3 linked regions of the Tribolium castaneum genome follow. The protein of the gene in region 3 purifies or fractionates together with the protein of the main gene of each other region. This does not show direct contact. Links are inferred from orthologs where the notes say so. Each region holds a gene or a part of one and is shown on either strand. Other genes may lie near its edges.

Region 1 (4,059 bases), on a different chromosome or scaffold from region 3:
TTTCTTCGCTAATTTTACCTAACCTACGTCCGTATGCAGAGGCGCCGCCATAAATTGTATTGCCGCTATAGAAAGGTGAGCTCAATATTCTCTTGGTAGACAATGTTCTGTCAATAAAGTTCGGCGAGCCGAAAGTCGATGCGTTAAACGATGGCCGTCTTGAACTCAAAGAAGTGTTCATGTTGGGGCTTCTTTCCGAGAATAAAGTACGTCCGCTTGATTCGTTTGCTAAAAAACGAATTGATTGTTTCAATTTTTTAATTAATAAGCCTAAAGAAAACACAAAACCGATAATATTCATAAAAACACATGATTTATAAGGAGTGTGGCACAATTTAAATAACTATTTGAAGTATAATGTCCATACTTTTGCCAACTCTTGAATATTTTTTTATAAAAAGTACTCAAAATTGTATATTTTCAATCCTGAAAATAGCAAAAATAAGCAAAAATACTCCAAGTCTGCATTTGAAGCCGGAATAATACTCATGGATTTTTTCATTGTATTATAATTTCCATTATCAAGCTCGACCGGTTCAAATTTTGGCAAAGATGATTCATCAAGAATTAAATCATAGACTTAGAACATGACTAAGATTTTATTTCCCCTTTTCCGAGTACACAATATGAAAAGCAAATTATGTAAAGACTGGTGTTTCGCTAAACTGTATTTTTTTTAATAACAAAAAATAAAAAAATCACGTTTCCTCTTCCCCATTTTTTTAAAACAATCTTTACTCGACCTACTGTCGGCAACAAACGATTATTTTTTACGTTTTCATTAATTCCAGTGAAAAAATATCAGACTCAGTGAAAAACTGAATAGACGCGATTTGTGACATATTGTCCAGATTTAAACTATTTAAATCTTCTTGTTAAAGCAATTTTATTATAGAACCTGATATTCTAATAAGTGTATAATTTTTTATAACGCTAATTTTTGAAATTCACCCAAGAAGGTAGAAGAAAGAGTTTTTTAGGTTTCTGAATTTAATTATAAAAAGGACAACAAAGTGCTCATAATAGTGAATTAATAAATGGTAAAAATAGATAAAAGTCAAGACAAGCTCAAAAATGACGAGCCGGAATTTCAAGAATTTAAAAAAAAAGGTAAAAATGTAAAACAAAATTTATTAACAATACGAGAACAGTGACTAATTTACTTGTTGCTCGTCACGTAGGTATAATGAAAGTGATGACATTTTTGTGTGTACAGCGATGCTGTACTTTAACCTAGAGGTCAAATATTATAAAAGAAAACAAAACAAGGAAATTACTAGTTCCATTAATAACCATAACAAGTTTATTATATCGGTACGTATTTTAACCTTATTTCATACAATTATCAATATCTCATTAGAAGCCTATAAACAGATCAGATAGTTTATTTTACCTTTATTGCATAAATACAATTTTTACTAGACTTTGACCTCATACCCAAACAACTTATGTTCGTCATAAGAGTCTTGCAGATACTGGCAATGATATAAATGTAAGAGGTCTTTTACAGACTTTAGCTAACAGCAATGAGCGTAAACATTTTTCTTACTTTGGTAACTGGAGACCTGCTTTTTGTATACAAAAGCATGAAAGTTGCTGATAAGAGAAAAACTTTAATTTAATCATTTGTGGTATTATCAGTTTCTTATGGTTTTAAACGGATCGTATTTATGAGTTTTGATAATTTGTAATTTCATATTGTGCATTTTTCTGGCATGAGTCACAATACTAAAAGTATAATAAAGTATTCCTGAGACAATTATGTACCCAACGGTTGCCAAAGTTAAGAAAACACTGCAAAAAAACTAAAAACAAACATTATGTAACGTAAACTTACATGAAGTAAACAAGGACCTAGTTTTAGGAGTGACTTTTTCACATGTTTCCTTGTGAGATATTTCTGCACTTTTGGGTTGATTAAGCAATTTGGGTGCCGAAGAATAGCCACTAGTTGATTCTTCACTGTCAGAGTCATTCTCACCGTTAACAATTTCTTGATTTTCGAACGAATTGGTAGAGACCGTATTTGTGCTAGCAGAACGGTGTCTGTCGAACAATTTGCGGGATTTAACCCCCGACGGCCCCGCCACCGGTTCAGGAAACTTCCCAAACACTTTCGACGAAACATTGTTAACATTATTGGAAGCATTATGCACAGTCACTGGCGATTCAAATATATGTGCACTGTAATTGTTGTGTTCCACTTCAGACGGTAGTTTCACACGTTTGCTTGGTGGCTGGAAAACGTAGGAGGCATCAAAGTCGTCGTCGTCGTCGTCGTCGTCGTCCTCCCGCCTCTTGACCGACTTGGACGCCGAGTCTTTGCCGAACCACTTGGACAAGGGGGTGCTGTTGAAAAGCCCCGACACGAACTTGCCCACGAACGACTGCAAGACAAATTCAAAATAGGACCTGTTAGCTACCTTACACGTCAAGGTTAAATAAATAAATGCGAGAAACTAAGGTTAAAAACGCGTGCTGGTGGCACTGCCAGGTTGCATGGAGGTGCTGGGGCGACTTTTGGGCAGTGTAAAGACACTATTTCGTGAGAAACTTTTATAGCTATATTTAGAGGTGAGAACGCGCGAATATGTGCAAAGAACGCATTTTATCAAACCTTATCCAATCCTGCATCTTTCGAGTTGTCTGGACTGTTTTCGGCACCTTCATTATTATTATTTGCCATAATTACAATTGTTCTTAGTCTATTTTACACAAATAAAGTAATTTTGGAAAATCACACATTTCTATGACAACTTTCACCACACGAGGATCCAATATGGCGGACTCCAAGTGTGAAGTTAGCCGCTTTTTGCGCGCGCTCCCCCTCGAAGAACACGAAGTTGGCGCTTTAGGAACAAAGCTCTCCCGCTGATTTTTCAAAATTTTGAATTCAATCATTAAATTAATTTTGTTAATTTACTTGAAGTTTTTGAACAAAATAACAACAAATATTTAAAATTTTAATAAAAATGTTTATTACCCTTAAAAATACAACCATATTTTTTGCCAAATATCTTTTATAAAAAATTACAAATTTTTAAAAAATCAAAAAAATACATGCAATTTGATTTAATGTGAATAACTTTTACAGTTTTCAAACGTATAAATAGTACCTCAAAAAAATTTAATATTGAAATTTTTTCAAGGCGGCAACTGCCAAAACACAAGTGTTTAGTGCGGTTGCCTATCACAAATATTTATTAATAAATTCATTATCAAATTTTACTGCTATTTTTATACCTGCCGCGATAAAAAACATATTTCTTCCTTTAACATACTATTATTAAGATAATGTTAAATACTGTTTAATACACAAAAAAAAATTAACGTGTCGGCAATATTTAAAATTAACAATTCAATTTTTTTTAAATCTCAAGTAAAATTTTCTTGAAATCGAAAATTCATCAAGCTGGCAGGTTTAGGTACATTTCAATAGTCGTATTTGTGTTGTTTCTCACTATGAAATAAAAAATGCATTTTTTAATTTTGTGGCAAATTTATTGAAGAAAAAAATCAGAAAATAAAAGGTGGCTGCAGTACTTCCTACTGAGAGTTTGATTTACTGTATTCACTATAGTGAGTAGAGTAACAATTAACAACGAAATTGTTTATCTAAACAATCACATCAATAGAAATTCCAAATTATCCTTGCCTTTTTATGTAATGAACTTTCCCAAAAAATCAATGATACGTACGTATTTAAACACAGAAAATAATGTCTGCAATAATTGTAAAAATATTAGACATTCATTCTTGGCAATTCATTCCCTGTATTTCCCGGACATTATTAGTAAATCCATATGAAGCAAGTTCCTTCAATGTCTATAGATTAGTTTATATAACATGAATATTCAGCATTTTACAATATATGTTGCTGATGATTTAAAGTGGATTAGGGATCTTCGTTGACCGAGTTTTTACATGGTCAGTCATATGTGACAGGAGACAGAAATTTACTTCAGCATGAAAACATACCAAAATTAGGTATACCATTTTCGTAACCAATATTTTTTAAACTAATAATAATGTTAATGGTTTTATCAAAAAAATATAACA
Region 2 (3,952 bases), on a different chromosome or scaffold from region 3:
GACCCACCAGTCACGCAGTGGCACATTTAATTCAATTTACAAAGCCGTAAAATTTTCAGAAAAAACCCTAGAGACACAGCCACAACGTCACTATCCGCGAATCTAGACACAGGTGTCCTTCTAAGTCGGGATGAGCTTTTACCCATCTCTTATCCCTTTACGACCAACTACCATTACCAAGTGCTTCGAAAAATTACCAGATTACGGGCAGTAAAAGCATCCTAAACCCAAACTCTCAAATAATGCTGATAAGATAAATGGGAATATTTTTCCAGGAAGTCAGATTTCGGACAAAACATCGAAATCATTGGTCTTTAAATCCAAACAAAACTGTATATGTATTTAATTTTAAAATTTACTAAATTATTACTTATATTTCGTACTATTATTTAAATTTTAAATAAATAAAACAACAAAATGTGTGTTTACAATGGATTTATTTCAACCGTAGCAACTGATATAAAATATAAAGTTCGAAATCCAGTACAATTTAGAAAACAACAAATAGTTTTTTTGAATTTTAAACAATTGTTAGGTTTATGCTCAGCCTAAGACATTATCATACATTCAAAAAACAATATATTAATTAATTACAAAAAAAAACAAGAAAACCATTCCATAACACATTGATTTTCAAACAGCACCTTTATACCTGCGACTTAATATTTTCACAGAAAAGGTCTTTGACATCTCTTTCGTAGTAATGCTTCCTAATAAGCTGACTTTAAGTAGTATAATTCTTGTAAATTTTTACGTTCCCTCCAAAAATGATTCAATTTAAAACTGGTGTTTTCCCCTATCCCCTTATTTTCATATTATGTTCAGATACTTACGCATACACAAAACAATTAACGTATTGTTTATTTGTTTAATCTTTCTTGGCACAAATTATTTTATAACAGTTCAACAACAAAAAAGGTAAATGAATGATGACAATGAAAATACTAATCAAATCGATTAATGTTTCTAATAAAATTATTGTTGTATTTACTTTTGTTTTATTACTAGATTATTTTACCATCCTATATAAAAAATCGAAAAATTGTACGCATCAGCATTTAATAAAGATAATAACTAAATCAGAATCATACTAACAAAAGTGTTAACACAATTTATAACTTCATTTATATGTGATTCAAACAAGATGATAGAAAAATTTAATTTGTAACTGTGTTACAAATTAAATTTTGTTCAAGCATGTCTGAAACGAGCTTTACGAGCTGATACAAAATATGAGGTCAATATATTTTGTTTTCAAGAGAACATGTATAAGCTTTAATGACTTCATTAAAAAAGCTTTTAAGCACGCTCTAACATAAAACAGGTAATGAAAATAAATTTTATTAAAAAAATGGTACAACATTCTTTCTACAGAGACTTTTTTTAACTCTAAAAATAGTCACCATGTTACCAATAATACGAAAAATAATAATTATTTGATGTCAAGTTGTTTGAAGTTTATTTTAGTGAAAAGATAATCCTTTGTAATCCGGCATTTCCCCTAAAAAAATATAAATTGCTTTTGCTTTGAAAAGAACCGAATTGTTATTTGTTTCTTGCCAGTGGTGGCGCAACTCCTGGGGGTAGGAGGTAGTGAATCAAAAAAATACGTTCGTCAAAAAAAAACTAAAACTATGCAAAAATAAAGGTTAATAAATGTCCAGTGTTTAAAAATAATCAGTTTTTAAAGATACTAATCTTAACTGAGGGCTGAAAAGATAATCCTTTGTGATCTGGCATTTCTCTTAAAAAAATATACTCGTACCACCAATTTCGTTATTTAGTGAAATTTGTCGGCTCAAAAAAAGTGGAAATAGAATGACAAAAAAATACGTGCGTTTTTAACGTGGCTCACAATCTAGGAAGTCATGTTGGTACAAGCTCAACTTAAGTTTTATCTTCAAGCTTCTAAATATCACAATAAAATCTTAAGTATCTTTCATTATTACAGTTAGCTATGAAAAAATTATGACTCAAATCATGGAAGATTTATGTATTCCTCGATCGGTCATGAAATTTCCCATAAAACTCTAATCGAATCCAGGCATCCAAAGCGTGAGAGCCTGTAAGCCCCAATTATAAAATTTAATGTCCTCGCTCCCCTCCGCTCCAAAATCAATATACCCGCACCCAGATTTGGTTAAATCGGCAAAAATAACCTAAAAACGTTGAGATAACACGAGCGGATAACCTCAATTTCTAAAATCACGATGCTCCAACGAATTCGAGCAAGATAAGCAATTAACACGGAATTAAAATCGGTCCTGTAAAAAGTCCCTCGGACGTCATTCCTTTATCGGCGATCAGCTGAGACCGAGTGTCAACAACCGCAAAGGCCCTTAGGCCGGCCCTGTCCACTTACCAGGGGTCAATTTTTGGCTGACGACATCGGGAAAGACGGACTTGGGCTTGGGGGAGGAGGAGGTGGCCGGAGGCGAAGCCCTGTCTCTGTGCGTGGGGCTCTCGCAGAAGGGAATGCAGCGCCTGCGTTTGGCCGGACGGCCCCCCAGCACGGGCTCCCAATCCAAGGAACGTTTCAGAGTAGCGCACGCCATTTTTAGTTCTGTCGCTAACACTTCACACACAAAACAAACTTTGTTTCACAGGCTATCGCGAATTTGCTATGTACAAAACCGAAATTGCACTTGGACACTTATGCAGCGGTACTTTTACCCCGAAACTTGTCCATGAAAGGGGAATGGTCGACGATTTCATGCGCACCCAACGACCAATATGGCGAAACGAAATAAGAGAAGTGACATTTTGTGAACGGCAGAGTGGGCTGTGATGAATATACGGTTACCATTGGCTTGCGCGACTCTGCGCATGCTTTGTACCCTGGCGACATCTCCCGGGACCAAAGATCTTCGCGTTTTTTCAAAATTAATTGGGCTAATTTAAAGGCAATTACGCAAATTTCCGTCTAACAACGGCTAAAACGAATGTATCATGAAATCGCTTGCTACCTTATGCCATTTTTAGGCACGTTACTGTTGCTTTTGCTTTGAAAAGAACCGAATTGTTACTTGTTTCTTGCCAGTGGTGGCGCAACACCTGGGGGTAGGGGGTAGTGAATCAAAAAAGTGCGTTCGGCAAAAAAAAAACTATGCAAAAATAAAGTCCAGTGTTTAAAAATAATCAGTTTTTAAAGATACTAATCTTAACTGAGGGCTGAAAGAAAGCAAATCCGTGTAATATAGACATTTTTTTATTAAATACTTTTTATCCAAATATGATACCAATATGCCTCAACAATAAAATCACATAATCTTAAATCTTAACATAAAATATACTATCCAATTTATATATTATACTTAGCTCTTAATAATATTTGGCATATATATTAAAATGTACAGAGCTGATATTTTGTATAGCATAGGACTTTGCCAGATTCCTACAACAAACCAAGCTAAATATTATTGTCAAAGAAAAACCGGTGACGGAACCAAAAACCGTTCGCACACGTCTGTGTGCAGTGTGTTTCAAACGTAAGAGGCACGGAATAAACAACAATGTGAGTGGTTCATTTAAAAACTGTCTAATCTGCACAAAACCCTGTTCAACACGAACACAGCTCAAAAGCGTATTAAGATATCATAAGTCGTAGTTCTACAACATCCTTGCTTTTAGTCGACCCCATTGTACCGTTCAACTGAACACTTACGATTACTAGAATTTAGAAATTTTAACAAGAAATCACAAGTATATTATCTCCCTTAAAAACTAGCAACGGCTGAAGCGCGTCCAGGATTTTTTAACATATCACAGCTAGCGCCAGAAACAAGTCAAACAATGATACGTTTTGATAATTGACTTGCGACGAGTATTTTCATGATTTCGAGCGAGAAAGAAACAATATTCAACACTGGGCTAAGGGTCACATTTAGACATCGCCACTTAATTCTAAACCGATATTAGAAGAAATCCTGAACGACTTCGAGTCACCTTGATC
Region 3 (4,084 bases):
TTGGTGCCCACCCGCCCTATGAGCGGCTTTCTCTCCGGCTCTTGTACCTTTTTAGGTGGCATGATCTGCAACACGAGCAACAAGACCGAATTAAACCACCTTTTAGATAAGGTCACGAGTTGGCATTCTGCGCCTTTTTCGTCCATTTTCCGATATGCAAATCGTCGGTTATGCGTTCAAATAATAACACACATCACCGACTGCAACTTAATTTGCACAAAATAGCAATTTTCAATCTGATACCGAAATTGTAACTTAGGGACTTTGCAGAGCGTTCAGCATTTTTAAAAAAGCACTACATAATAATAAGCTCACCGTTCCATAGGCTACAATTTCGAATTTACCATCAATTCCTACTTTCATATTAATGTAATTTGCCACACAGCGCCCCAGGCCCTTAAATCCGCCGTTATAATTTCGAAATTTCGCTGATTTAATCAATTTTTTACTAAAACAAGAACCGTCTCAAATTTCAACCAAATTCGAAAACGCCGCGACCCGTCATCACGCAAACCACCGCCAGGTGGCGACAAGGACCCACACACGATTTAACCCACAAAAACATAATTCCCGCAAAAACGCGACTAAACATTACGCAAAACAAACTTTTTTGTCATCTAATCCCCAAATAAGCAAAACAACAGCGAGACATGAACCCGATCGGCCCAAAAAACACGTGAAAGTTGCATAACCTCAAAGCCATTCTGTCGTTTTTTACCGCAAGACAAAGCCATTAATCGGAATTTTTTTTACACCGATCCATTCATACACTCGCACTACTCACCTCGATAAGGTCTAAAAGTGTTTTTGTTAAAGAATCAGAAAAACTCACAACACTACACAATCACCGGTAACCTATATTTTGACAGATAAGCGATCTTTTTTTAGGTTCGACGCCCGGCTAAAAGGTGGGCAAAAAAATAAAATTTTGATTTGTTAGCACATTTTCCCAAACGAATCATTCACTAATTATTGATTACTAATTAAAAAAAAACCTGATTATAAAATATCTGTAGCTCCCCCCCAAGCAGGTGTTACTCAATTGTTTAAATGCAAAATTCCCAAGGACACTTTCAACCCCTCAACTAATTAATTATTTTCTCATTAAATCTCTACGGAATTGTAAAAAAAAATATTTGGACAAAGTTGGGTAAGACCTACGAAGAACTCTTAAGACAAAATATATTTTTTATTAATGAATTAATTAAATTTGTTCCTGATCGACGTTCGATCGTTTTTTGTTTTAAATAAAAAATCCCCAAATGCAAATTTGACAACTTGACATTTGCAATTATTTGTTTGTGTGAAAAGTGGGACAAAAATGCAAATTTGAGGTGAAAAAGTGTGTTTTGTGCCAAAATTTCGTGTTTACTGAGTCTCTGGTCCTTCGCTGTGTGTGCTTTGGTGAGTGAAACTCAAAAAAAATTAGTTATAATGAACCCGGCTTTTAACAGACGCTCGGATATAACAAACAAAATTATAAGTCCCGTTTTAAAGTCCTATACCTATTGTAGTAACAAACTGGTTCGGTTTTAACGAACAAACAAACATCACTTTTAACGTCCAATATTTAGGCAAAAATACAGTGGCGTCCGTTTATAACGAACCCATTCATAACACACTTGATTGAGTTGTTGCTGAATTAACGCATAGGAAAGGTAAAATCTTGGCCATTTTCGACCAAATCTGGTGATTTTTTCGTTCCACTTTAATAAAAACAGGAAGAAAACCTTGATTTTTGGTCTAAAAACATGTTAAAATTCTCAGAACTTGCAAAAATAATGTCATTTTTGACATAAGTCTTTGATTTATTGAGAAATTTTGCACAATAATGAAGTTTTTGCTGAATAAACGCTTAGGAAAGATAAAATCTTGGTCATTTTCGACCAAATCTGGTGATTTTTTCGTTCCACTTTGATAAAAAACGAAAGGAAATTTTGATTTTTGGTCTAAAAATGTGTTTAAATTTTCAGAACTTGTAAAAATAATGTCATTTTTTACATAATTCTGTGATTTATTGGTTTACTTTTTAAGAAATTTTGCGCAATTATTGAGTTTTTGCTGAATAAACGCTTAGAAAAGGTAAAATTTTGCTGATTTCCGACCAAATTTGGTGATTTTTTCACTTTAGTTTAAGAAAAACATGAAGAAAACCTTGATTTTTGCTCTAAAAACGTGCTTAAACTTTCAGAACTCGTCATTTTTGACATAATTCTGTTATTTATAATTGAGTTATTGCTGAATAAACGCCTAGGAAAGGTAAATTTCTGGTCATTTTCGACCAAACTCTAAACTCGGACTTATCGGACTTATTTGCCTTATTATCATAATATGTAATATTTTTTAATAAGTCTATTTATACTTTATTTCCTGTATCTATTCCAAACTTTGGAACTCCTTTAACTTGAAAATTGTTCTTTGGGTGTTCGTTATGACCGCGTTCCACTGAATTGTTGATTTTGCTATTGCCCACCTTGTGTGTTTGCGCCAAGTAGAAAATTGCGAAAATTTGTTTGTTTGCGAGTAAATGCGTCTTAGAAATAGTATAGAATTACGTATTCCGGAGCAGTTGATTTCCATTTGGGTCCCGGAGCATAGAATGAGCATCGAATCGCACAATTACCGTATGAAGACATCAAAGCGATCGGAAAGCTCACAGGTTATTCAGGAAACCGCAATTGTTGCAAGTGAAGTGCACAAAAGCTTCACCTACAATAGCATTCGCCACATCCGGAATGTCGTAGCTTTTGGTCCTCTGTGTCGTCGTCGATATAATAAAGTATTGCGTTACTCTTAGCCTCGCCGACAGGAAACTGCAAACGTTATTCTGTCATTTTACGAGCCAGCATTTCAAAAAAGCCCATTCTTTGCAAAACATGTTCATTGGACGGGGGCCCTTGGGCCGCTGCCAAGCCTAATTCGCCATAAAAGTAATGAGTCGCTGCCTCATGATATACATTGTCAAAGAAATAAAAGTTTCTGCCTTTGGGGGCCAAATCAAGACCCGGCTCGCTCTTTTATCACTATAATCAGGCCGCCAGCGCCAAGATGGCCAACATCTCGACCACCACGTGAACAATAAGACGGCTCTGATTTTATAAAACTTTTCGGAAAAATTGCGATTTTTTTTTGTTTGAACGAAGCAACTTCCGAGGGTGCTTCCGGTGCACTGTGTGGCACGGGGCGCGATGCAGCTGTGGGGGGCGGAACGAGACCCGCCGCCGGAGAGGACGTCACCTCCTCTAACACATGGTCGCGTCACAATGTGACGGCTTCTTGTTATTTTATATCGGTAAATGTATTAGCGGAGATGGACGGCCTACTCGTTTCATTGCGACAGGGGTGGACACGCGCCCTTGTTTGCCCCAAACAGACCCCCACGAGAGCGACAACAGTATGGAAAAAAATCTTATTCAATTGTACGAAAATGTGTGCTCACAAAGATGGGACTAAATACTTTCGAGAGATCTTTTTTGAAAACATATTAATCTTCAAATCTCGCTTTAAACCGATTTTTTTTTTGTAATCACAATTTGAGAAACGAAAGGACTCGAAGCAGAAGAGGCTTGTTGATTGGTAAAGTCATAAAACAACAGAAGGTACTAAAATTTTATGAACTGTTGCTCTTTTCGAGCCCTGAAGCCCTTTTTCCACAAGGTTTTGCTAAACCGAACCGAAAAATTAGAAAATTAGATGGAAAACGATTACTTTTTGCTTTTTATGAACTAAAAACTCAGTTTTTTTAATTTTGCTAATGTAAAAATAATAAAATTTTTATTGCAATTTTGACTTTAATTTAATTAAAAGTAACATTATTTATAGGTACATGCGTTTGGTGTGAGAACGATCAGAACTTTTTGATATTTCGGAATTTTTTAAGACGAGCTCACCTAATAATTTAATTGCCTCATTAATTTCAGCAAGTTTTCCAAATTAGAAGTTATTAAAATTGTAAGCTTAGTTCATGGTATTTAAGGTGACAGAACCAGATTTTCATAAATAATTGTCTTCTTTAGGCATTTGAGCACATTTTTAAGTTAAAATTTATAGAAATTTTTTAGTAGATTCTTCTAAATCAAGGTGA

What was found. Proteins that work in one complex are often made in the same cells at the same time.
Region 1: the proteins of Ran (region 3) and Nup153 purify together in Homo sapiens (affinity purification with mass spectrometry; 5 studies listed by BioGRID and IntAct, counting the BioPlex papers as one, with this or other methods). This does not show direct contact. The link is inferred for Tribolium castaneum from reciprocal best matches to the Homo sapiens genes RAN and NUP153.
Region 2: the proteins of Ran (region 3) and akirin purify together in Homo sapiens (affinity purification with mass spectrometry; 3 studies listed by BioGRID and IntAct, counting the BioPlex papers as one, with this or other methods). This does not show direct contact. The link is inferred for Tribolium castaneum from reciprocal best matches to the Homo sapiens genes RAN and AKIRIN2.

The regions. Positions count from the first base shown.
Region 1 is NC_087394.1:31,197,843-31,201,901, forward strand, and holds the start of Nup153 (nuclear pore complex protein Nup153), read right to left. Parts: upstream 2,801-4,059; 5' UTR 2,687-2,800; coding exon 2,618-2,686; intron 2,388-2,617; coding exon 1,838-2,387; intron 229-1,837; coding exon 1-228. UniProt on the Homo sapiens protein: Component of the nuclear pore complex (NPC), a complex required for the trafficking across the nuclear envelope. Functions as a scaffolding element in the nuclear phase of the NPC essential for normal nucleocytoplasmic transport of proteins and mRNAs.
Region 2 is NC_087398.1:5,661,508-5,665,459, forward strand, and holds the start of akirin (akirin), read right to left. Parts: upstream 2,801-3,952; 5' UTR 2,556-2,800; coding exon 2,363-2,555; intron 1-2,362. Other genes in the region: ankyrin-3, read right to left, coding at 3,952-3,952. UniProt on the Homo sapiens protein: Molecular adapter that acts as a bridge between a variety of multiprotein complexes, and which is involved in embryonic development, immunity, myogenesis and brain development.
Region 3 is NC_087395.1:25,444,941-25,449,024, forward strand, and holds the start of Ran (GTP-binding nuclear protein Ran), read left to right. Parts: upstream 1-1,272; 5' UTR 1,273-1,404; intron 1,405-4,084. UniProt on the Homo sapiens protein: GTPase involved in nucleocytoplasmic transport, participating both to the import and the export from the nucleus of proteins and RNAs. Switches between a cytoplasmic GDP- and a nuclear GTP-bound state by nucleotide exchange and GTP hydrolysis.